Caenorhabditis elegans: one gene and its partners. The protein of the gene in region 2 interacts with the protein of the main gene of each other region in a pairwise test. Each region holds a gene or a part of one and is shown on either strand. Other genes may lie near its edges. The genes, in order: npp-9, mett-10 and R07B7.2.

Region 1 (8,210 bases), 6.7 Mb from region 2:
TCAGGCATTTTTTTTCTAAAAATAAAACATTTCCAAAGAATTCTGTATTTTATGGTCTAGAAATTCGAGTAAAACTGGCTTTAGAGCTTAAATATTCGAAAAATTATTATTTGAGGGGGCGGGACTTATTTGTCTGACACGGTTTTTCCGCAACCCTACCGCACTTGCGGGTTTTTTCTTTTTTTTGGTTTTTCAGTGTTTTAAAGCCTAACTTGTTAAGAAAAAACTTTTTTTTTGCAGTATTTCTACGGAACCCGTGCCAACAATCTCTACCCATTCACATTTGACGTCAGCTTCGATGACGTCACTCTTTGTAAAATCGGAGCCGAGCAACTGCCCGATTCATGTCTACCATTCGGAATGGAAGTTGAAAATCATGAGACAAAGCTGGTTATCATGGAGCCCAGTGCCGACATTAAACATCATTTGTTCGCGTTCTCGCGGAGCACGAAAGCCGACGAAAATGTGCTGAAATCGCCGGTTTTTGGATTTTGTCTTGTCACGGAGGTTGGTATTTCGTCGAGTTTTTGGGTCTCGAACGGAAATTTCAATTTTATCCAAATTTCAGGTTGATTTGGAGAAGCGAACAATGTCAATTCTCTGCCCACAGCGTACAATTCCATCGAAAGTTCTCGTCTTCTCAGATATCACCCATCTTGATGATCAAATAAAACGATAATTTATTTCTTTTTTTTCCTAATCCCTATTTATTTGTTTCCCGCCCTCAAAATAAATCTCATTCTTCAATGCATTCACAATTTATTGGATTGTCACCAGTGGGGAAAAATCGATGCCGGGACAATGTGAACAATATAGTTAAGTTTTAAAGACAAAAATTATGAATGATAGTGTGTGGGGGGTACTTATGAGAACAATGGGATTTTGAGAGAGATGGGGGGGAAATAAGGAAATTATTTTTTTAAAAACCTTACCAGACAAATATAAACTACACTTAAAGGACTATAGATGACAGCAGATGGGGATGAATAAAACTAGGTTCATAAATAAAATTGGTGGTGGGGAATACTAACACAGAGTGCTGGGTGGGGAGGAATAACAATAATAAAATAATTTAAATAATCAGCAGAGGATTACATCTTCGATTGAGCATCCTGAACAGCCGTCTTGAATGCTCCGGCGGTCGCCTCGTCCTTGAATTTGGCGGTGAAGATGGCTGGATCAGCGTTGGAGGCGTCTTCTGAGAAGTCCTGAAAAATAAGGAATTTATAGTACATTTTTATATAAAAAGAAATTAAAAATTGCTACCTGGCACATAAATGTGAGCACATTTGGCAAGTTTGGCTTCGGACTGAGCTTCATCGACTTTTCGATACGGAAATTGGCACAGAGCTTATGGACTTGCTCACGACGCATCACGATTCGATATTTGTTGTCATTGCTTTTCAGGAGCTGAAATAATAAATTATTTTTCTCAAATTTAGCCTCTATGAGTCAAAAATCAGTTGTTTTCTTAATAGTTTTCATTAAAATTTAGTGAAAAAACATAGAAAATACTTGCAAAACAGTTGAAAAGTGCGCAAAACTAGCACTTTTCTTAACTGTTTCAACTGAAATAAGTTATTTTCTACGTTTTATCACTAAATTTTAATGAAAACTATCAAAAGAACATGCCAAGCTGGCTCATTTTGATATAAAATCCTAAATCTGACCTTAATATCTCCGAGTCCACGTTCCTTATTCTCCTTGAGATCCGAATAGTACTTATAAAGCTTGCATCTGGCGGAGAACATGACCTCCTCGTCCTCTTCACCAGTTTTCACCTCAACCAAATCCGGAAGAGGAATAACTGGCTTAAACTCGACTTCTGGCTCATACTCCCCATCTCCATCCTCATTCGTCTCATCACCATCGTGTGAAGTTGCAGAAGTCGTGTTCAACGTGGTGTTCTTGCTCCCGAAAATGCTTGCCTTCTTCTGAGCAGCAAGTTCTTCTTGGGCCTTCTTGACATTTGCTGCGTCGAAAATGGAGCCAGATTTGGCAGAGTTGGCTGAAAGGGCAGCGAATGTTGCACCTCCAGACGTGAATCCACTACCGAACACGGATTTTGGCGTCTCGGACTGTTTATTTTCTTCTTGTTTAGCTGGTGCAGTCGTTGATGGAGTCTGTTGCTTTCCGAATGAGAAAGTTGGCTTTGGGAAGGCACTTTCAGAATTCTTGGCGAACATAAACGACGGAGTAGTAGTTGAAGAAGCTGTAGATTCAGTCTTGGAGAGTCCACCTCCGAACAATGAATTTCCTGGAGTCGTAGAGGTTGCCGGAGAAGCAGTTGAAGCTGCAGGATTGTTGAAATTGAACGATGGGGTAGTTGCATTGACAGCGGCAGCTGGCTTGTTGAATGAGAAAGTTGGAGTATTAGCAGCACCTCCACCGAAAACGCTTGTTCCCTTTGGTGTTCCACCACCGAAAATGCTACTGCTAGTGCTTGGAGATCCGCTGAGTGATCCACCGAACTGAGATGTTTGAGCAAGAGGTTCCTTGGCTGGAGCAGATGCTCCGAATCCGAATGTCACTTTTGGAGTTCCTGGGGCAGGCTGGAGGATCGAAGGTCTGCAAATTTAAATTTTTAATTTTAAGATAACTCAAATAGAATATTTACTTAGAGAATATATTTTTCTCTTTGACAGATCCGTCTTTCGATGTCCCACAACAGGCACATTCAATCTCGTCAGCTTTGCAAGTAACATAGCATCCAGGGCATTCCCAAGATCCTGGTTTTGGCTTGAACTGATCTCCAAATCCAGTCTCTTCCGGTTTGTTGTTTGATGGAATCACAACTTCTTGCTTGACTTCCTTCTTCACCTCAGCCGCCGGCTTGATTTCCTTGTCGATGGTCTTTCCAGCGTTGCTCGATGATTTTGCCTCAGCGACAGCCTTCTCGAACAAAGTCTTAAACTCTCCAGCGATATCGACGTTAGCGAAACGAGCGGAAAGCTTCACGTGAGCTGGCTGATCTTCGGAAAAGTCCTCGCAGAACCATGTGTAGGCCTTCTCGTTGGATTTCATTTGTTGAATGGTCATCGAGCCGAGAATTGGGAAATTGGCACAGACTTTGAGAACCTGTAATTTATTTTAATGCTAAATTAAGGTATTTAAATTTAAATTAAGATCTTTCTGTTGAGGAAAACGCCGAAAAATGTGAAAAAAGCTGTAATTGGAATAACCTGAATATTCCAACACAATTCTTCGGTTCCATTCTCAATATTTGAAGGGAGTGTCTCCTCCGAAATGGTCACCTGGTCTCGTCGCATAACAACTCTCCACGACTTCTTGTCCTTGTTGTAGAGAACCTTCAGCTCGCCGGTTCCTCGCTCCTTCCATTCCTTCGTCTCGTTGGCATAAATGTAGAGTTTTGAACGATTGCAGAACATGGTTTGCTCTCCTTCTTCTCCAGTTTTCACCTCGACAAGATCTGGCAGTGGAATGACTGGCTTGAACTCGCCCTCTGGCTCGTAATCCTCATCATGTTCTTCGTCTTCATCATCTTTAGCTGCTGGAACCACGACTGGGGAAGCAGTTTCAGGCTTTTTACCGAAGATTGAAGTAGCTGGATTGGTCCCGCCGAATGAGAATCCGGTGGTGGCTGGCTTTGGAACAACTGCAGGCGTTGGAGTAGAGAATGTTGGCTTAGCAGGTGGAATTACAACTTCTGGTGGAGATGTCTGAAAAATATTGAATTTTTAATTGCTGGAACTAAAACCCGAAAATTTGTTACCTTTGGTGCAATAACTCCAGAAGCTGGAACTGTCGATTTTGCTTGTGCTGTAGTGGCGACCAGTGGCTGTGTAACGGGAATAGCTGGCTTCGCAGCATTGAGCAAATTAGCCATAACTTGGCTTTGGGCCTGTGCTTGGGCTTGAGCTTGAGCGTGAGCATGAGCTTGAGCTTGTGCTGCCTGCACATGAGCCATCTCCATTTGTCGCTGAAGAATCAACATTTGCTGTTGTTGCTGAAGCTGCTGTGGAGGAATCATTGAGCCGAGAGGATTCGCATCACGAGCAAGAAGAGTGTGTATAATTTGATGAAGTCTCTCGAGCTCTTTTCCGTGATTAGTGCTCAAATCGGACAACTGCTTCTGAAACCGATCCTCGGATCGACGAATATCATCGCGAAGCTGGGTGACGCCGGTCTGGTGCTCAATCTGTGAAAAATAAGTATTAAATTGAGTTTTTCATGAATCGCATACCTTCAACGAGTCCATGCTTTTGATAAGCGAGTCAAACTGCATTGTCATCAACTGCTGCACATCCACGACGCTGGCGACAATGCGCCCCATATTCTGAAATACCGTGAATCATGTTGAGCAACATTCGAAAAGATTCACTTACCGGCTTCTGATCGCTCATTGCGAAAGGAGAGCTGAAATATGAAAAATATCAGGTAAACAATTCAAGAGACTTCAAGCTAAAGCGAGATAAAAAGACGAATACTGCGGTCTCTTTAGTTGAAAATTAGCAGCAATACTTCAAAGAATTCGCGCCAGGGATTTGAATTTCGAAATTTCGCGCCAACGCTTTCCCTGCTTAAAATAGGGCTTTCCTACCTTTAAAACTAGTCTTTTCTGTATAAAATATGCTTTTAAACGCACAAAAAATGTTTTCCAGCTATTTTTCGTAAAAATACGGAAAAACTATGGCGAAACAGTCTAAAATAAATAGAAATTGGGCGCCAAGCTTCGCAAATTTCGAAAAAAGTTCAAATTCCTGCGCCGTGGCGAGACCCGTTGCGTAAATCGACACGCGCGCCTTTAACCATGAGTTGGCAATTATTCATGGAAAATACCGGTTTTTCAGGCGAAAAACAGGATTTTTGATATTTTCCGTCGTTTTTTATGGCTTTTTCGGTTTTTGAAATGTCAATTTTGCCTGGAATAGCATTTATTATTCACTTTTCTCAGCGAATTTATTGATTTTTCATCAGAAACTTTCAAAATTGTGTTTTTTAGTGATTACAACAACAAAATGGAAGTAGACACAAGCTCATCGTCATCTTCAGAGGACGAATGTGACCCAAGCTCTCCGAGCACGGCATATATCCACTCAGCGTGAGTTTTTCGCTAAAAAACACAAAAAACAAACTGTTTTTTAAATGTTTTTGTTTCAAAATTAACATTTTCTGAAGTTCTAACAGCAGTTTCTAATCCGATTAATTCCAGAAGCGTACGATTATCCGTCGGAACAGAAGAAGCGGCTCGAACCGTGGCAGATGTCATAAAAATCGATAAAGAGCCGAGAAGAAGTGGTGCTCGACGGGAAGTGTGCAGCGAAGGCGAATTTGTAGTCATGTAATAGTTTTTCTATTCGAATAACTAAATAAATAAGTTAATTTTCAGAAAAATCGAATCAAAAGATCCGAAATCATTGTCAAAATCCATTGCCAACGCTGTTGATATGATCGATTTGTCCGTGAAAACTATCAAACTTTGTGAAAATCTGGGAAAATCGAAGGAAAACGGATTGAAAAGAAAACTCTCAAACGGATCTCAGGCTTAATTTGATTAAAATTTGTTATTTTTTCTGTTTTTGTTTTTTGAAATGAATTTTTTTCAACTTTTCATGATTTTTTCTTCTTAAAAATATGGTTTTTAACCTTTAAAATACTTTTTTTTTCGATTTTATTGCAAATTCCCCACTAAAAAATCGATTTTTTCAGGTTTAAATGTTCAAAAACCTGAAAAACCGGCTGGATAATGAAGCCGGAAAGCTTAAACAATCAGCTCAGCAGTATGGAGAACAACTCGCCGCTCAAGTTGGACAATATCGGCAGGCGATGGTAAAAATCCACTGAAAACTGAGAAAAAATCGATAAAATTGCAGAATGAGCAGCCTGCTGGCAGTGATGCATCCGCGTCGATTTCTAAAAGATTCACCGGAGAATCAGGAGAAACTAAAGCTGAAAATCCAGCAAATACCTCTATTGTGAGAGTTTTAACATGAAAAATTCTCGAAAAATTGAATTTATCGTCGAAAAACTATTATTTTCCAACCATTTTCGTGAAAATTTCCGGAAAAATGGATTTTTACTGTTGAAAAACAATTTCTTGTGAGATTTAGTTCGGAATCCAAAAAATGTACCAAAAACAGCAGAAATATGCGAAACAAAGAGATTTTTAAATAAAAATCTATTTCCAGCAGCTGTGAGACCGTTAAAATGTACGAATTTTAAGGTTTTATTAAAATTTTTCGCCATTTTTTCGAAGTTTTGCATCAATTTAATTGCAAAAAAAATATATTTTTTCCGCATCTAAATCACATTTTTGTATGTTTTCCATGTTTTTTACAAGAAAACTCAAAAAATACCAAAAAATATTTTTTTTTTCATTGGGAAAAACCATTAAAAATCAGAGATTTCGTTGAAAATGGTCACATTTTTACGAAAATGATCGAAAATGACTTTTTTTGTCGAAAAATTTAAAAAAGAGGAAATCCTGTTTCTCTTAAAAAAGAATTTTAAAAATTCAGAGAATATCGAAAATTAAAAAATGTAGAAAATTGATACGAAAATTAAATTTTTTTAAATAAAATTATGTTTATAATTTTTTTCTGAAAAAGAAAAAAATGTCAAAATTTGAGCTATTTTTTTCCAAAAAAATCGGAAAAATAAAAATTCGGTTTTCCCGAAAATCGATAAATTCGCAAAAAAAAAAATTTTTTATGAGAAAATTTTTTTTCTTCTGAAAAATTAGAAAAATGTCTGAAATTTAAGCTATTTTCAGGAAAATAATGAAAAAACGTTTTTCAATTAAACACACAATTTTTATCAATAAAACAGGAAAAACATGTTATTTTCATCTAAAAATAAGAAACAAATGGTCAAACATTTTGTAAAAATCTCTCTGAGACTCAATAAATTTCCAGGAATCCTCGTCAGCAATAATGTCTGAAATCCCTGAAGCTGATCTTCTAGGCCTCGGACTTTCATCAACTGAATCTCCATCAAATCGTCGACGTCGTTCACCATCTGAAGATTCAATACATTCAAATGAAAGTACACTTGCTGCATTACTTCAATCAATTCCAAATGCAATTTCATCTGCATTAGAAACTATTCCTTCTGACTCTGAAAGTGTTGCTAGTGATGCATTTTCTGTTAGATCTACTAATGATCCGGTTAGTAATGGAAAATATGAAATAAATCCATGTTTTATAGACTTTATTCGAAAATTAAATACAAAATTAACTAGAAATAACATAAATTTAAAAAAAAACCTTTTTTTTTTTTGAAAATTCTACTCGAAAAAAAAAAGATTGGTATTTAGAAAAGGATAATTTTTTTTTTACTGATTTAAAAAAAAATTCCATTTTAAAAAAATCAAAAAAAGTTACAAAAGTGTTGAAAACTAACCTGGGTGTCAAAAAAAAATTCTGAGACAGTTTTGAAAAAGAATCTACGAAAAAAATATTTTCTTACATATTTCCAAATAAAAAATTCCAAAAATGAAATTTTTATATTGAAAACGAACCGAAATTCAATTCACAAAAAAAGTAACGAAAATTTACGAAAAAATAACAAAAAAATACAAAAAACCCAAAATTTCCAAAATTTACAGCCCAGAATTTACAAAAAAAATACCCGAAAAATTTAGAGAAAATTAACTAAATTTACAAAAAAAACCAAAATTCAAGAAAAAACCAACAATTAAAAAAAAAATATTGTCAAAATTTACAAAAAGTAACCAAAAAATTAAAAAAACTAAAATTTACAACAAAAAAATAACCAAAATTCACGAAAAAATAACCTGAAAATTTCAAAAAAAGAAGACAAAAAGTTACGAAAAATTACGAAAAAAATGACCAAAAATTGCTGAAAATAAAAAAAAAACAAAAAATATCCAAAATTCAGTTTGGGAAATTAATTTTAAAAAAAGAAAACAGAAAAATTTTGTAAAAAAAAAAAATTCAAAAGTGACTAAATTTTGCCAAGCCACTCGGGTTTTCATTAGAATTTTAAAGCATACATTTTGAAAAAAAGTTTTCAATTTATACCCAGAAATTTTTTGAAAAAAAAAAACTTTGAAAGGTTTTTTCAAGTTTTTTCAAGTCCAAACTGCACATTTAAGCTAAAAATAGGCCCTTTTCTCACAAAATCTCAATTTTACAGGCCTACAACTCTCGTCTGAAACAACGTTTGGCCACGTATAAAGCTAAATATCGTGATGCAGTACACCGTCATAATAAGCTCGTTGATGACGT
Region 2 (8,210 bases):
CCAGCTATAAATGTGTGTGATATGTATATACGAAGACGTTTCTTGATTTTTTGGGGTCTTTTCAGAGCTTCTTGAACATCAATCTTCTTTCTTGTAATTGTTGAATCAAGCTTCTGCTCAAATGCTAACAAGTCCATATAGGCTTGTGATTCGGGAACCAGTTCGCGAACCTGAAATTATTTTATTATTTTTTTAAAGGAAAATTCGAAAGTTTTCAAGTATATTTACCTTTGGTTGAATTAATTTATCGGCATATCGCTTTTTCTTTTTCGGAGGCTGTGGGCCCCGGTTTCCCTGTATTTGAGCGGTTTGTCCAGGCAACGGCGCGTTAATCGGCCGACGTACTTGCTGTGGTGTTGCCTGTAAATCAAAAAGGTATTTTTAAAAGAAAAACGATTTAAAAGTTTACCGGATGGTTGAATCTTGGCCCCTGCGGAACTGGTGGCCGCGCTTGAGTTTGCATTCCTGAAAAATATGAAGATTTTTTCAAAACAAATAGCCAGAAAGATAAAAATAATAAGTTATTTGTCTTAAAACATGTTTAAACACAAGAAAAATGAAGCGAGAAATTATTCAAAAATGAGAGAAAGTCGATACGAATACGGTACTATTTTAAAGGCGCATGCAGCTTTTGTTGAAATCGTGACGAGACCCGCACCGCATCGGGACAACTTACCCTTTAATGTGTGTTTCTATTCTTTTTTTTCTTTTTTTCAAATTTAATTCGAGTTGTTTTCCTTTTTAGAATCAATATTTTTCTTAATAATAATTAATTAATTTTAAAATAATGAATTTCTCTATTCTTGAAGTGAAAAATAATTAATTATTAAGGATACGACAACATTTAATAGTATTTTTTCTCAATTTAAAGGGAAAAAAAAATTAAAAATCCTAATAATTGTTAGATGTGCAGCCAGAAAGAGCTAGAGGAGCACACGGAGCGGTGTGAGTGTTCATTATCGATTTTCTCTGCCCTGCAAGGCCGCAATGTTCGTTTTCTAGGCCAGCATTTATTTAACGTTTCCAAATGTCTGACGATTTCGTAAATTAATGTCAATTATCCAAGTATAAATGAAATAATTTTTAAATAATTCCAGATGAGCACACTATCGGTCTTAATCGAAACATCATCTTGCTCATGGGGAATGCTAGCAAGTGCACACGGTGATCGAACAATTGGAATTATTCTACGAGCAATCGTATGTTTGATTTGATTCCGCTAAAAGATTTCATCAAAAATTTTATTTTTAGGTATCATTCTGCAATGCTCATCTAGGACAATCTGCAAATAATCAGCTTCTAGTTTTTGCATACGGACGAAATGTGGATAACAAAATGATATATTCTTCTACAAGATGTGAAGATCGGAATGCTTCGTTTCTTGTTGTGAAGCGTTTGCGGGAACTATTGAGTAGTGATGCATTAACTAATGATGCAACTATTGGAGCACCTCTAGGACCTGCCTTGGCTCATGCTTTTTGCCGTGAGTTGGAGGAACTTCCAATTAACAAAAAAATATATAAAAACGGAAGCTATATTTCGACATTTCAGATATGAAAAAAGACAGCCGAGTAGTAACTGCTGATCCATGTGATGATTCTCTTGGACCTCAGACTACATCAGAACAATCGGAAACCGCATCTGAAAAGGCTACGAATAGAGCAGTAGTGATATCAATTACTCCTATCATGGGAAGCGAACACGGATCGTTAATGAATTTGTTCTTCTCTGCTGCAAAACAGTCAATCTGCGTTGATGTTGTATCGATGGGAGATGATTTTACTGGTGGAATCCTTCAACAGGCAGCAGATATTACTGGCGGATCTTTTCTACATGCCAAAAAACCACAGACTTTATTGAAAATTTTAATGGTAAGTTTCACAGATTTTTGATCTTCATATTAATTATTTGATTCCAGACTAATATGCTAACCGATCCAACTCACCGTGCAGTATTCTCGAAGCTTTCTCATAATGTAAGCCAAAACCAACGACTGGAACCAACTCATAGTTTATAATTTTCAGTCAGTCGATTATCGAGCATCCTGTGCGTGTCATCATCAGCTTGTATCCTCCGGTTGGGTGTGCTCCATCTGTCTTTCAGTCCTCTGCCAATATACTCCAATATGCAAAGTTTGCAAAGCAGCGTTCACGATTGCCAATCTTCCAATCAAACCGAACAGGAAACGGGCCATCAGGAATTAACGTGTTAAACAATTTATTTATTTTTTTGTTGTTTTTAAATACCGGTTTAACTATGTTTCATGAATAAAAATATAACGTGAACTTACCTTGTTAGATTTTTATTTTTTTTTAAAACACGGTTTTCCAACTTCAAAATCAGTTAGTAAAAAGCTTATTGCTCGACAATGAGCGTACATCTAACAGAAGGCAGAAGAATCATTCAATACACAGGATTTGATGATATTGATGAGGAAGATGTTGAGGTAAGCAGTGGATACTGTATGTACAACTGATCTCTGAGCTGATTTACAGCCAAACGAAGAAGCTGAAGGTCCAGGAGGTGTTCACAAAAAGAGACGTGGAGCGCGAAAGAAGAATCGGCGGCAAAGAGTAATATTTTTGAAGTTATTATTACTCATATGTGAAGTTTTGTGGTTTTTGCGCGAGCCCTGGTCTCGACACGTGTGCGCCTTTAAGGGGTACTGTACCTTTCATTGCTGCGCACTTTTCAGTAATCTTTCATAGTTTTCGATAATAATGTTTTTAAAAACACATCAAATTTTAACGAACTATGAATAATGGGTACAAATTCCACAGCAACAAAATTTTGAAGTTACAGTACCCTTTAAAGGCGCACACCTTTTCGCATTAAACAAAAATTAGTCGTGGCGAGACCGGGTATCGTAGTTTTTTCGCAAAATTTTGCAGCTGAGTATTTAATAAAACAATAAATTTATTATGCTACAAATTGAATTCAGATGGAAGGCCTAGAAAACGTGGATCAGACTGTTGACTTGCAGTTGGTCACAGTTCCAAAGGTTGTACCATTCAGAGCTTCTAGACTTTTGCAGGTATTCTTTAATTAATCCCAACGAGACCTAAAGTCAAAATTCAGGAAATTTACGATCGTGAGAGGGTTCACGGGATGCGTAGAGATGAAGCCCGTCAGCTGCTCGAGGATAAGCTCCTGTTTCTAGAGGAAAAATCGCTCGAGAATTTGCATCTTCGTAGATTTTGTCTTGTTGTTCCATCTGATGAGCATTTTCAACTGGATGATGGCTCTAAAATTCCTTCGGAAATTGTGTCAATTTCTATGGAAAATGGGAAAATTAGCTCGATTTTGCGGGTTTTTCCGTCGAAAACTAGAAGCTTTGAAATGGAGAGTGTAGAGAACTTTCGTGAGTGTGAAATTTGAAATCAAAGTGAAGCTCCAACGCCAAATGAAAACGTCCCTTATATAATAATATGGGACTCGTTAGGTATTGGTTTTCCGCCAATACCTAACGAGACCAAAATTATGGGGGAGGAGCGCGAATGCCATTTAATTTCAAAATTCTGATTTTGTGCATCCCCAGAATACATTAAGCCTCAATGTTTCTCGAAATGAAATATTTAGAAAGTCACCGAATGCGTCGTGTGTACTGGAATCCATCAATTCCAAAAGATTCGAATTCAATGTTCCGCACGTGGAATCATTTTCTCGATGGATGCCTTCTTTCTCTACTCCTTGTGCCACTCAACAAGCTTACTCAAGTTCTAGAATTTTTGCGTAAAATCAACGAAATGCGAACTGTGATCAACAATCGTATAACCGTATCAATTTGTTTGAGTCGTGTGATTTGTGTTGAAGACTATTTGAGTGCTGTACAGAAAGTGATGAATACCCGAACTGTTGTGAGTCTCTAGATCTATGGATTTTAATGTATATTAGCCGTAAATATTTCTATTTCAGCAACTTGATCATATCCCTTCCATGGATCTTCCATCTCTTCACTTTGCTCTTGATTTTAGGTATATTTTTATTAATTTATCAATGTCTAATATTCTCTTATTTACAGCCGTTATCATATTCAATCTATGAATACAATTTTCACAGGATCAACGGAAATGGATAAATTATCAGATGAGAATTCTAGTCACGAATTAGTTGAATTTTCGAGCTGGTCATGTCACAGGGAAGCTCATATCAATATGGAACCAGAAAGTATGCAATTTTTTGGAATTTGTAATAATTTTTCCGAATTTCAGAATATCATCGAATTCTCCATTGGTTGTGGGATCTGAGTCCAGTGAATCCAGTAGATGAGGCAGAGTGAGTAGACGGTCCTAGAAAAGGTTTTCAAGAGAAATTTCAGGGAATTGTGCAACCACGAAGTTCCAACAGACACATACGACGATGATGATGTACTCACTAGAACTCCTTGAATGTTTCTTTTTTAAATTTGAATATGAAGATGAACCGATATACTTGCTTTTTATAAAACTAAATTGTTTCACTAGAGAAAAATAAATTAAAGCTCTTATTATCTCACAAAAACCAAAATTGGTATAAATATTGAATAAATAAAATTATGCTATTTATCGGCATATTAAATTTTTCAAATACTGCACTAGTTGATGAAGGTGTTGTTTTGAACCGGATATTAATTCAAATGAAATCGAATCATAAGAATCTTCAGAAAAAACTTGGATACGTATTCGAATGATCGGGCCAGGAACTTCACCATTCGGCAAAGGAAAGTACGCTTGCGAAGCGTTATCCCACGCATTTAAATTGTTCGTTGGTATCGATTCAGAAGACACAAAGTTTCCAGCGTCTGTGTATGAATCTTTTCCATCTCCAGCTCCAAAAGCTACTTGACAAGCCACGTTTGAGAAGTTCCACTTTGCTTTTTTGATGCTAGACTCTGATAGAATAGCTTTTGCTCTTTTCCGGGCTCTTTGATTTGTCCATGTCACACATTTGAACTCAGCAACAATAGCTAATGTATCTTCTTGCCTCAAACGTCCATTTAATATACTTATTTCCTGCATTAACCTCGTTAATCCAGGCTTTGGACATTGAAATGAAATTGGACGGTCCTGTAAACCAAGCGCGATTAATTTTTTTGAAGGAAAAAAATCACTAACAATTGTTGTAAGAGATACAGATTTTGAAAATGTCCATGCCAACATCCAGCGCTTCGTTTTTCCTTGATTCAGCACAGAAATCATAATTTTAACGTCATCTCCGAAGCGTTGCAGACGATTTTGCAGGGGCTTCAGACTAGACTTTCGACCTATCATTGTTGTGTAGATTCTGAAATGCTGTATAATATTCATATAAATATTAAAAAATTCGAAATTTACTTGATTCTATCCCGTAGAAGCACACTGTCATCAATAATCCTATTAACGAAAGCTACTTCGCCTCCATCAACAAATAATTCTGCACTTGAGGCGAAGGTAGCAGAGTGAGGAGCGGTTCGGAATTCAGAAGCAACACGATTTGAATATGTTTCCGTGGATGATGAGATATCTTCACAAAACTTGTCATCGCCATTTCCTTTTTCGAAAAACGGAGGATTACACATACAAAATGCATAATCTGTATCCGGAATCGTGTTGACTACATCCTACAAAACATTTTTTTTTGTTATAAATTAAATTAAAATTTAAAGTTTAATTACCATTAGCACTGTTTTAACATCGGGATTCACATGAACTACACAAATTGAACTGCTCAGCCCATTTTTTGCCACGTTTTCATGAGCTACACGAACTGATTTTTCATCTCCGTCAGTGGCAATGAACTTCCAGTTAAACTGCCGAGCTCCTATTAAAGCATGAATACACGATGTTCCGGTGCCAATATCAATACCAATCACATTCTTCGTTAGCTTATTCGCTTTGAGGAGATCATCGATGAGCAGGCAGTAATTGAGTTTTTGCGGAACACGTGGAACCAAATGTCCTGGTGGTATTTCGACCTACAAACATAAATATATATACATACATGGTTTTTTAAAATTAGTTTTCAAAAAGTTTCAAAAAACTTACATCTAAATTAAAATCTTTTTTCAGCAAAGTCTGAGTGAGACAGCGAACAGCAGCATCCTTTTTAAAATCGAACGTAACTTTTCCGTTGCTCACGTATTGACAAAACTTGCGGAACTCTGGATACTCCACTGCCAATGCTTTGAAATCCGGCGGCTTGTTTCGATAAGGGTTACGAGGATGCATCTCGTTGTTTTGTGACATCCTGAAATATAAAAGCATGATATATAAATAATGATATATATATTTCTTCAATTTAATTTATAAAATAGACGAGGAAACGACACATATTATATGTTTTCGAGGGTTTGAAAATACATAAATCCATAAATTCAAGAAAAAAAAACTAAATAAATCTCGTAAATCCTACCTGTGCAAACACCACACGGCGTAACATGCAGATCAGGCAGCGAAGTTGACGCGCAAAATATTAATTGCTTTTTTTTCTTTATTTTCTTCACACCGTTTCCGGTTTGTTTATTGAAGGAGCGATGTCGTTACGTGTTCAAAATATCCTGATTAATTCTCTACGCCAATATTCGAAGCAAATCTTAAAACCACCCGGTTATGCATCGCCCGAAAAAACCAATCACTTGAAGAAGTTTCTTGTGGACAAAATTCGAGTTTCCGGGCCGATCACAGTTGCTGAATACATGAAGACCTGTGTTTCCGCACCTCTTGTTGGATATTACGGACAGTTTTCGAAAGATCAGAAGGTTATCTCATCTCCAAATTGTCATTCTTTGTTAATTCAGATATTTTAAGGTATTCGGCGCTAAAGGAGATTTCATTACTTCCCCGGAGCTCACTCAATTGTTCGGTGAAATGATCGGAGTATGGTATGGATGTAAATTTACGAGGAAAACTGTTTATTCTTCAGGGTATTTCATGAGCTAGCAAATACGGGACACAAAGGATCATGGCAGCTCGTGGAGCTTGGACCTGGACGGGCTCAGCTGATGAATGATGTTCTGAACGCATTGGCCAAGTTCAACGACAAAGATGTGTCTGTTCATTTAGTAGAGACGTCTGATGCTTTAATTGATGAGCAAGAAAAATCATTATGTATTTATACGTCTAAAAATTCAATCGGTATCCTTTTGCAGGTCGAAAAAAACTTAAATTTTTATATATTTTCAGATACTCCATTCATCCGAAAAAACAAAACACGGACCGGTGTAAATATCTACTGGTACAAATCGATTGATGATATTCCCGACGGATTCACTGTCTTCATAGGAAACGAATTTCTCGATGCTCTTCCAATTCATCAATTTCATAAATCGGGAGACTCGTGGAACGAAGTTTACGTAAATCTTACGAAGGATGGGGATTTGTGTTTCATGAAATCTAAAGGAGAAAATTTACATACAAAGTTAGTAAAAAAAATCGTTTTTAAATATTTTTCCGATATATAAATATTTTTTTCAGAGGACTAATCCCTTCCGCAATTCGTGATGACTCATCTCGTGTAACATGGGAATGCTCGCCTGAATCTGGAACCGTTGTGAATCAAATCGTTGATAGAATTACAACATTTGGAGGATTCTCTCTTCTAGTCGACTATGGGCATGACGGTTCTCGAAACACGCATTCTTTCCGTGCATACAAGAATCACAAGCAAGTTGATACACTGGAAAATCCTGGATTGGCAGATTTAACTGCTGATGTCGACTTTGGATACTTATCGACTCTTGTCAAAGATCGTGTTGTTATCTACGGACCAAATGAGCAAAGGTTTAAAGGAAATTAAAGTTAAATTGATAATAATTCCAAAATTTCCAGAGAATTCCTTGCTCAACTTGGAATTGAACACAGGCTACGACGCTTATTGCAAGTTTGTAAGGACCGGAAACAACAAGAACAACTAATTGGTGAATTCTACCTTTTTAATATGTAAAACTAATTGATTTCATTACAGAATCGTACAATATGTTGATGGGCGATATGGGATTGAAGTTCAAAGCCTGGGCGCTATTTCCAAAAACTCTTGAATTCATTTTAGAGCAGAGAGGAGGCCCAGCTGGATTTTCAGCCAAAAAGAAGACAACGGAGAATTAAATTTAGATATTTTGTTATTGGAATGAATTAGTTTCTTTTATATTTTTATTTATTCATCTAAACATGGTTTGTATCCAATAATTTTTCAAGTCCTTGGTTTTATATATTTTTCTGCTTTTATTTGATTCTTTATTTTCAGGCATCCAGATT
Region 3 (8,210 bases), on a different chromosome or scaffold from region 2:
CAATGTCCCTTGAAGACGCTGAAACTTACATTCAATAATTCCACTGAACACCTAGACTACTTTGGACGACAGAGCTTGAAAAAAACTTTATTATGAGAAAAAAACTTAAAAAAAACAAGAGAAACCATAGAAAATGGAGAAGGAACATTAGGTTTCCAGACATCTGGCAATAAAAAGGGAAACATTAATGAGATTTGAGAAATCGCGTTTTTAAATCGGTGAAACAATGGGCAACGAATGATGAACAAAAAACAATAAAGTTTACTATTACCTATTCAAAAATTAAATCTACTTTTTACTGGGAGCCTTATAGAAGTCTTTTGACCACCTTTTTGCACGACGAGTATCGCCTCCTTGTTCGGCGTTCCATTCCGCTTCGTAGCGCGCTGGAGCTGAAAAACGTAGTTAATTTATAAAGGTTATTTACATAAATTCGAAATCAATAATACCTTTTCTTGTCCTCTTTGATGAAGTAGGTTCTTTATCAATTGTAGAAGAAGGAGTTTTTGAATTTTTCTTGGTCGTCTCATTCCTTGAATTTTTGCGAGATGAGCCCGGTGGAGATTGTGATGGTTCGAGTCGTGCTCTTTTCATACCGGTGGAAATGGCAACAGAAGATCCATATCTTGAGCGCGAGGTATGTGGAGATGTGTCATCTGAAAAATAGAAATAAAATAATATAGAAATAACTTGGCGCATCAGGACTGAGCGACAAACGACGAATTCCGTTCGCCGAAAAAGCCAGATCCCACACATCCCTGGTGTACATTGTGTAACCTATATTTAAACAACTGGTGTTCGATCCTCACCGGTTTCAGATGCGCTTGGCATTGGAGACTCGTTTCTATTTTCAGTTATAGAAATCGCTGATATTATGGATCCGAAATCTTCCACTGGTGTCTCATTTCGCACATCTTGATTATTGATTTCCTCTGTTTCTCGAGCAATCGAATTGACTCCAGATACAGCTTGGTTGACGGATCCAACATCTGTTACTGTTATATTATGTTATGTTATGTTAGGTCGTAATTTATACTTTTATTACCGATGATCGCATCGACAGTATTCTCGATTTCAAGATCAGCCTCAAGCCTTTCGGTTTCTTCGGGAACGATTTGGTTTTCATTAACATTGACTTCTGGCTGAGAAATCGGCGCTGCAGAAGGGATATCGGCAAATGAAGGATTTACATTCGCCGAATTTTGATTTTGTGCATTTTGATACATCATTGCATGATTCCGTTGTTGCTCCCACGCCGCTGAAATTGTAACATATACCTTTACTATAAGTTGCAGAAATTGAGCGAACCGTATTGAGAGTGTAGAAGCATCTGCTGCTGCATAAAAACATCATATGGCGGCATGAACGGAGATTCAAAAAAAGAAGATGGAGCCGCGGAGTTATTCATATCTAAAACGTGTAATTTCTCATAAGTAGTTTAATTGACTATAATTAGAGGTAGTCAAAATTTATACTCACGAGATGGCATCATTCCTGGATGCCAACTCATCATGCCAGCCGCAGGTTGACCGAATGGGCGAATGAAATGATTATTTTGCCAATCGGGTCCCTGTCCTCCCGAGGAATTCGGCATTGATGGAAACATCCCTCCGACCCCTGAAAATTAATTAATTACTATCATTTACTAATATATATATATATATAAAGCGCTTATTCCGTTTGTCCATAGTTTGTAGTCTATGTAGTCTTTGTAGTCTGCGAAATTTTAGCTTCTGGAGGGATAGTGAGTTGAGGTTAGTGTAAGGATATAGTCGGGTTACTGTAGTGGTACAATAGTGATACGGTAGGAGTACTGCATGATTACGGTAGTTTCAGAAACATTAGTTTTTAGCTCCAAGAGGTCGGGAGCCGCGCCGGAGGTGCGGTCCACGGCTGGTCAATTCATAAAATTATTGAATTCACTGATTTCTGGTGGCAGTGGAAGACAAATTTTGAATTTCTTCATTGTCTGTTAGAATAAGTTTAGCCGAACACGAAACTGAACAGAGCCAAGTGCATTTTTAATATAAAATATTTCACCTCCAAACAAATTTCTAGCATTATGTGGTTGCTGAGCCCCTCGCATGTCTTCAGCCTGATTTCCTTCTTCTTGGGGAACAGGAAATTGGGACCGTTGTTGCTGTGAAGACATACTTCCGAGCAAGCCAGATGATGAACGAGCAAAATGCGAAGATCCATCATGTCGAGTTGGGAATGATGAGCATCGCTCTGAAGTTACTTTTTTAAACGAGAAGCAAAGTTGATGGTCTGACTTACGAGAATTGATCATTTCAGGGAAATGACTTTCCATTGTTTCTTGACTTGCTGGTGGATTAACCTGTGAATGAATTGACTGCATGCTGTTTGAGTTTGTTTCTGTAAATTACTACTCTCAAAATAATTGATTTATTTTATATTAGTAAGCTCTATTGCCAATTATACCTTCTCTCTGTTCCGTTTGATGAAGTCTCGAATGGAAAAACGATTGAGAATCGGCATCATTGAGACTGGTCTCATTAATTCCAATTTGTTGCGAAGCTTGTGGCATTTCAGTTTGTTCGAGATCCTCTTGACGAGCTTAAATTTAATTTTATGATGAGTATTAGAAATATTTTCAATATTTTGCGGACATATACAAGAGATGTTCCTATTTTCAATGTATGCACCTGAGCGTAGGACGAATTAAAATATGGGAAAAAGTTCGAATATTAAAGTGGGTTACCTTCAGAATTTTGCAACGGATGACTCGGCGGCACAGGCGCGGATTGCTGATCTGGTGGAGGAAGCAACTGGAGTTGTTCAGGTTGCTGGAGATAAATTGGAAATGCTGTCCGAGCTTTGATGGGCCGGCGAGCTTGAAGATGTTCCAAAAGTGAATTTGCCAATTTTTCGATTAAACAAGATTCTGAATTTGTACCGGCGATATTGGTTGCATGACAAGTTTGTGTTGTTCTGTTCGCCGTTGAACAAATGGCTTCCACCTCCTTATCCTTTGTTTGAACCTCGTATTGGCTTGAAGTTTCCACAGCCGTGATAATTTCTGATTGGACATATTGATCTCTTGTTGGAGCGTGATGTTGGCTCCAGGCATCAGCAACGTCGACTTCAGATTGTACTCCTTGATCTTTTGCGAACGTACTTTGATTTGCATAAATATCGGAAAGTGAGGAAAAAGGCACACGTGTTGATCCAAACAAGTTCCCAAAACTGCGACGTCGTCCAGTTTGTTCTGTGTTATCACCGTCAGAAGCACTCATCTGAAGCGTTATAATGATTATTAATTTATTAAAAATCAAATGAGGGTTTGTGAAATGGTTTCATACAAAATTCCAAACAAAAATGTTCCTAAAAACTAATTTAGAAAATAATTTTCGTTTGGCGAATTATTTACAACGGATATGACGCAACTCTGCGTACTTTTACCTCGGCTACAGTAACCCATTTCGTTTTTCAAAACATATTTAAATACACAAAAGTCCTGGTCTGTTTTCCTGCATTAGTTCGCATCATAATTTAGGTATTGTAGAGTTTACGAATGCGATCTTTGGCTCAATAATACCTAAATTTTGAAAAAAGTTTACTTTCAACCCTTTTTAAAAATTATATTGTGTTTCTGTACATCCTAATTACCGATGCTCCTTTATAAAATTATAATTGTCTATAAAATCATAATGGTATTATTTCACGCCTTCTAGAGAGTATAATTAATGAAATTAAATACCGGAAAACACATTAGACAAACGTACCGATTAAGATTTATCACAGAATAAAATTGTTAAGAAAGTGTCTATGACATGAACAGAAAATTTCAAAATAAGTTCACATTTTGCAACGTAGTGTTGCGATTTATTTTTTCAAACGAAATTTCAGTTTTTCAGTTTATTTCCCAAAAGAGACCAAACGACATCTTGCTAAACGCAAACATATTTTTTAAACTCTCTGTGCATTTCCATGACTTAAAAAACACGTTTTCAAAATGGCAATGGTAGAACATGAAAGAGAATAAGAACATTTAAGATTCAGAAATATAAAGTTCATCAACATGATACTCGCGGTTTCGGCGTCTTTCACGGAATCTGGCAACATCTTTTCTAGTAATCACACCACGAAGCTGAAAAACAATACTAAAAAATAAATTTGGATAATGTTCGTCCTCACATGATTATCATCGTTCACCACAAAAAGGTATCGAAGTCCAAGTCCACGGAAAAGTCGGAAAATGAATGGAAGAGATGTGTTCAGTGGAACACGGTGCGGATGAGGATGCATGTAGGGCTCAATGTCCAGGAAACATGACTCGTCGAAATTTGTTAATCCGAGTTCAGCAACAGATTTCATTTGGCTGAAAATAAAATATATAACAATTGAATTATAATATTTTCGTAGTATGTTGAATACCAAACAATTTCTGTTTTAAAATTCGTATTTTATTCAATATAAATCACTTACTCGTCGTCATCCTGGCATTCATAAAAATCATTTGGAAGTGCAGAGTTTGAAGCTCCTTCTTCCTCGAAAATTCGATTTTCCAGAAGTTTGAACAGTTGTGATCGCAGAATATAACCTTTCAGGCGTCCATAATCAGGGAGTGATTCGTATGGCGATTCTTCGATTCTATCTACTACTGGAAAGCCATGATGAAGTGTGGAACGAAGAATTTCAACGATTCTGGATACTCTTTCTCGCCGTTCTAGAGCCACAACATCTTTTCGCATCACGCGGCTGAAAATTAAAAAAAGATTTTCGAATTGTTACAACAAAAAAACCAACTCTGCCAAAATGTTTCTGCTCATCTTTGGTGGATTCCAACCAAGAATTGGAACTTCTGCTAAATCAATATGAGCATCATAAAGTCCTTCATTGAACATATCTCCAACCCATTTTGTTACCATCAACACCAACATAATAGGTAATCCAAATGTAATATCTTTAGTTGCTTCCATTATAATAGCTGTTAATGAAATTGTCATTCGAACAACGCCTCCGAGTTGTGCGGCAGCTCCTGCCAATGCGTATTTTCCTGGATCAATTCCAGTAACCGAAGGGAAAAGTCGTTCAACAAAAATTCCAAACAGGCGGCCCCATGCTGCACCAGTAAGAATAGCTGGAATGAAGACACCAGAAGGTACAGAGATTCCGAACGTCCAGAGAGTGAGCAAGAAATATTCAATTCCAAAAATAACAAGAGTTGTGACACCAAAAGAATCTGAAAATATTTGGATCTTAAATGTTTTTGAAAGATCAAACTTACTTATCGGACTATGAAACATACTCTTCACACTTTCTTCAGGATTTTGAAAAAATAAAGAAGCTACTGCAGAATATTCTCCTTTTTTGCACCACATTTGATTGATTTGTGTTGATGTTGCTGTAGGATTCGCTCCTATCGGCTGACAATCGTCAATTGCGAATATTGTGAGGAAAGCAAGAAATCCTGATACCGCGGCAACAAGAAGACATTCGAACAAACGACCCAGTTTGCTGCTCACATATTTTTTACGGAACTCGGTGAGTTTTGTATTTAAATAATTGAATAAAGCTCCAAGACAGCCTCCAATTATTCCAATGAGAAGAAACAAAGGAATTTCCCAAATATTATAATCCTTATTTTCGAAAACTCCGAAATTCGCGAGACCTGTCCATGAGAGCCATCCACTACGTCCATTGAACCAACTGAGAATCCAATTTACAGTGAATGAAGAGATCATTGCAGAGAAAAACATTCTCCATGTCAAAGCTTGATTCCAAAAGCTTGCTCCTTCTTCTAAAGAGAATAGAACTCCTCCGATTGGTGCTCCGAAAGCAGCAGCAACTCCAGCAGCAGCACCAGCAGAAACGAAATCTCTTTTTTCTCGATCATTTCTAAACTCGCGGAAAAGTCCGAAATCGATTCCAAGGGAATAACTTTTTCCCTGTGATATCCCAGCTCCTACAGCAGCTCCAGAATGGATCATAGGACCTTCTTTTCCAGCACAAAGACCACCGCCAACCGAACATGCAACTCCAACTGCTTTTGAAACGAGCGTTTTGAGACGAACAACCTGGAAAAAACGAAAGTTTCAGAAATTTTTGAGCTGGAAATGACACCTCAGGAATCGCAATTCCGTTAAGATAACACTTTATTTGAGGAATTCCAGAACCTCCAGCAATCGGAGCTACATAAATCACAAGGATTGCAGCTATAGTTACGAGAACACAATTATATCCTATCCAAGCTATCATTACGGTCCACATACACCCTGCAGTCGTTCCACGTTGCTCTTCGCCACACTTTGAGAGCACTGAATGTTTCGTTTTCAATAGATTAGTTAGATAAGTATAACTGACAATATTTGAGAATCCAGTTAAATTTGATATCTTTACTGTAGTGTACCATAATATCAATAAATGCAGCGACGAGTCCAGTGAAAACTCCAATCAAAAAGCATACAAACCAACGATTTCGAGAAATTCGCCAAAGAGTTAACTGAAAAGTGACATTGTTACTGTATCTATGAAATCTCAAAACCTGGTGAGATGGTTTCTTTTCAGCATCTCTATAGAGTCGATTCTCAGATATTTCATAGTTCAGACTTTCGTATCTAGCAGACAATGCTTCATGGCTATCCGTTCGACCAACATCATCCAATTGCCTTGAGAATAACAGCTCTTCCTCCTGAAATAACTTGATTTTCAGAAAAAATTGCTGGTTTTTGCCCGCACTAGTCGTCTTCTTTGCCGAGCAACGTGTTCTAGATTCGAGTTTGACATGACTCGTTCTAGCCCCGACACAGGATCTTCATTTGGATCCAGACTGAAAAATATTATTTCCGAGAAGTCAAGTGATATTTAGTCTCTTACCTATTAGAACTTGTTCGCACCCTGTTACGGGATGTCATCTGAAATGTTGAAATAAATCCAACTGAACTTATTGTAGACATAAGAGAAGTAACTAATTTCGATAGACACGCAACATGTTTATTGTTGGATGTGAATAGAATGAGTATGGCGGAGTATTTTATTAAACATGGTGTTTATGGAAGAAGGAATTATAAATTTATAAAATGAAGCAAGGTGTGTAGACAACTACGCAGCTTCTGAGTATCCTTGATTGTGTACGAGTTGATGAAATTAGAAGGCACGGAATCCACGACCACGAGAGTTGACAACCTGATCAGTGACGTATTGGACTGGACGATATTGAACTGGCTGAACCTGAAAAACCAATATATTGGTCACCACAGATTCCTAAGATTTATGTTTCATAATATTAATCCAATTGGTGGCTAGTATTGTAAAACTCAATCATAATCTTTAATTCAATTCTAGCAAATAAAAGTTTGAATACTCACTTGACGAACAACATTGTTTCTCTGAACAGGTGGTCTTGCATTCACATATCTGACGCTTCTCACAACTTGCTGTTGTTGTGGCTGCTGCTGTCTCTGGAAGCGCGGGGGTTGTTGCTGGAAACGAGGTTGCTGTTGCTGGAAGCGTTGTGGCTGGCGTTGGAAACGTTGCTGAGCCACTGGAGTCTGGATTACTCTTTGCACGACCTGCTCATACTGAAAACGAACAATATAATTCTGACACTGGATACTGAATAATAATGAATTTTTACCTGTGGTCTTTGAACTTGAGCGCGTCTTGGAACTTGTTGAACGACTTGACGACGAATGACTGTTGGACGATTATTATTGTTGTTGTTTGTTGGACGGAATCTTCTCGATTGCTGTGATTGAATAATCACATTGCGTCTCTGCTGTGGACGGTTCTGACGAACTTGTTGTTGCGGTGCTCTACGAATCACTTGAGATTGCACAGGAGCAGTGATGATTTGGCGAACAACTTTGACTGGAGCTTGACGAACATGCTGTACGATAGTACGAACAGGAGCCGTTATTGGTCTCTGTTGGATGATTGTTCTCACAGGTTGAATCACTTGGGCAGCAGTGACATTTCGTTTCAATGCAAAATTTCGTCTGGCGGCAAGAGTTGAAGCAGCAACACCCTGAAATCATTTACCTTACCTCCGTGAAAGATTGGAAGAACTCTCGACACGCTGAAGAAGCTGAGGAGAAGTTGCTGTCTGTCTCTCCGGAAGGAACTTCACACAAATTGAGACCATCTGTTCTGATTTTTTGGCAGAAGCCTGGCTTTCTATCAGGTTTTCAATAGTGGATGATCGTATTTCCAACTATTCATCGCGGTTTCAAAAAACACGAAGAACG

Evidence for each region.
Region 1: the proteins of mett-10 (region 2) and npp-9 interact in a two-hybrid assay, tested with the Caenorhabditis elegans proteins (one large-scale study listed by BioGRID).
Region 3: the proteins of mett-10 (region 2) and R07B7.2 interact in a two-hybrid assay, tested with the Caenorhabditis elegans proteins (one large-scale study listed by BioGRID).

Annotation. Positions count from the first base shown.
Region 1 is NC_003281.10:3,399,900-3,408,109, forward strand, and holds npp-9 (Nuclear Pore complex Protein), read right to left. Parts: upstream 4,378-8,210; 5' UTR 4,365-4,377; coding exon 4,347-4,364; intron 4,298-4,346; coding exon 4,205-4,297; intron 4,160-4,204; coding exon 3,734-4,159; intron 3,681-3,733; coding exon 3,183-3,680; intron 3,079-3,182; coding exon 2,618-3,078; intron 2,569-2,617; coding exon 1,671-2,568; intron 1,411-1,670; coding exon 1,267-1,410; intron 1,209-1,266; coding exon 1,092-1,208; 3' UTR 745-1,091; downstream 1-744. Other genes in the region: Protein clpf-1, read left to right, coding at 241-507, 569-679; F59A2.5 (L antigen family member 3), read left to right, coding at 4,980-5,062, 5,174-5,302, 5,351-5,510; golg-4 (GRIP domain-containing protein), read left to right, coding at 5,677-5,790, 5,835-5,936, 6,876-7,127, 8,119-8,210.
Region 2 is NC_003281.10:10,113,036-10,121,245, reverse strand, and holds mett-10 (U6 small nuclear RNA (adenine-(43)-N(6))-methyltransferase), read right to left. Parts: upstream 6,211-8,210; 5' UTR 6,204-6,210; coding exon 6,003-6,203; intron 5,933-6,002; coding exon 5,633-5,932; intron 5,579-5,632; coding exon 5,313-5,578; intron 5,263-5,312; coding exon 5,094-5,262; intron 5,046-5,093; coding exon 4,542-5,045; 3' UTR 4,380-4,541; downstream 1-4,379. Other genes in the region: ham-3 (SWI/SNF chromatin-remodeling accessory subunit 1), read right to left, coding at 1-170, 229-360, 410-463; gtf-2H3 (General transcription factor IIH subunit 3), read left to right, coding at 1,098-1,199, 1,252-1,483, 1,552-1,871, 1,919-1,975, 2,025-2,204; ZK1128.3 (uncharacterized protein), read left to right, coding at 2,369-2,446, 2,496-2,573, 2,942-3,034, 3,079-3,361, 3,580-3,857, 3,916-3,974, 4,022-4,167, 4,212-4,279; nuaf-7 (Protein arginine methyltransferase NDUFAF7 homolog, mitochondrial), read left to right, coding at 6,491-6,715, 6,765-6,838, 6,880-7,091, 7,140-7,374, 7,431-7,736, 7,785-7,873, 7,921-8,060. UniProt on the Caenorhabditis elegans protein: RNA N6-methyltransferase that methylates adenosine residues at the N(6) position of a subset of RNAs and is involved in S-adenosyl-L-methionine homeostasis by regulating splicing of S-adenosylmethionine synthase transcripts (sams-3, sams-4 and sams-5).
Region 3 is NC_003283.11:12,056,491-12,064,700, forward strand, and holds R07B7.2 (PUM-HD domain-containing protein), read right to left. Parts: upstream 3,260-8,210; 5' UTR 3,258-3,259; coding exon 2,723-3,257; intron 2,578-2,722; coding exon 2,443-2,577; intron 2,377-2,442; coding exon 2,278-2,376; intron 2,230-2,277; coding exon 2,041-2,229; intron 1,618-2,040; coding exon 1,480-1,617; intron 1,411-1,479; coding exon 1,309-1,410; intron 1,259-1,308; coding exon 1,037-1,258; intron 996-1,036; coding exon 810-995; intron 657-809; coding exon 450-656; intron 393-449; coding exon 289-392; 3' UTR 72-288; downstream 1-71. Other genes in the region: clh-6 (Chloride channel protein), read right to left, coding at 4,013-4,111, 4,159-4,342, 4,450-4,722, 4,771-5,206, 5,252-6,041, 6,088-6,281, 6,328-6,466, 6,509-6,655 and 2 more; pqn-53 (Prion-like-(Q/N-rich)-domain-bearing protein), read right to left, coding at 7,111-7,194, 7,332-7,544, 7,601-7,990.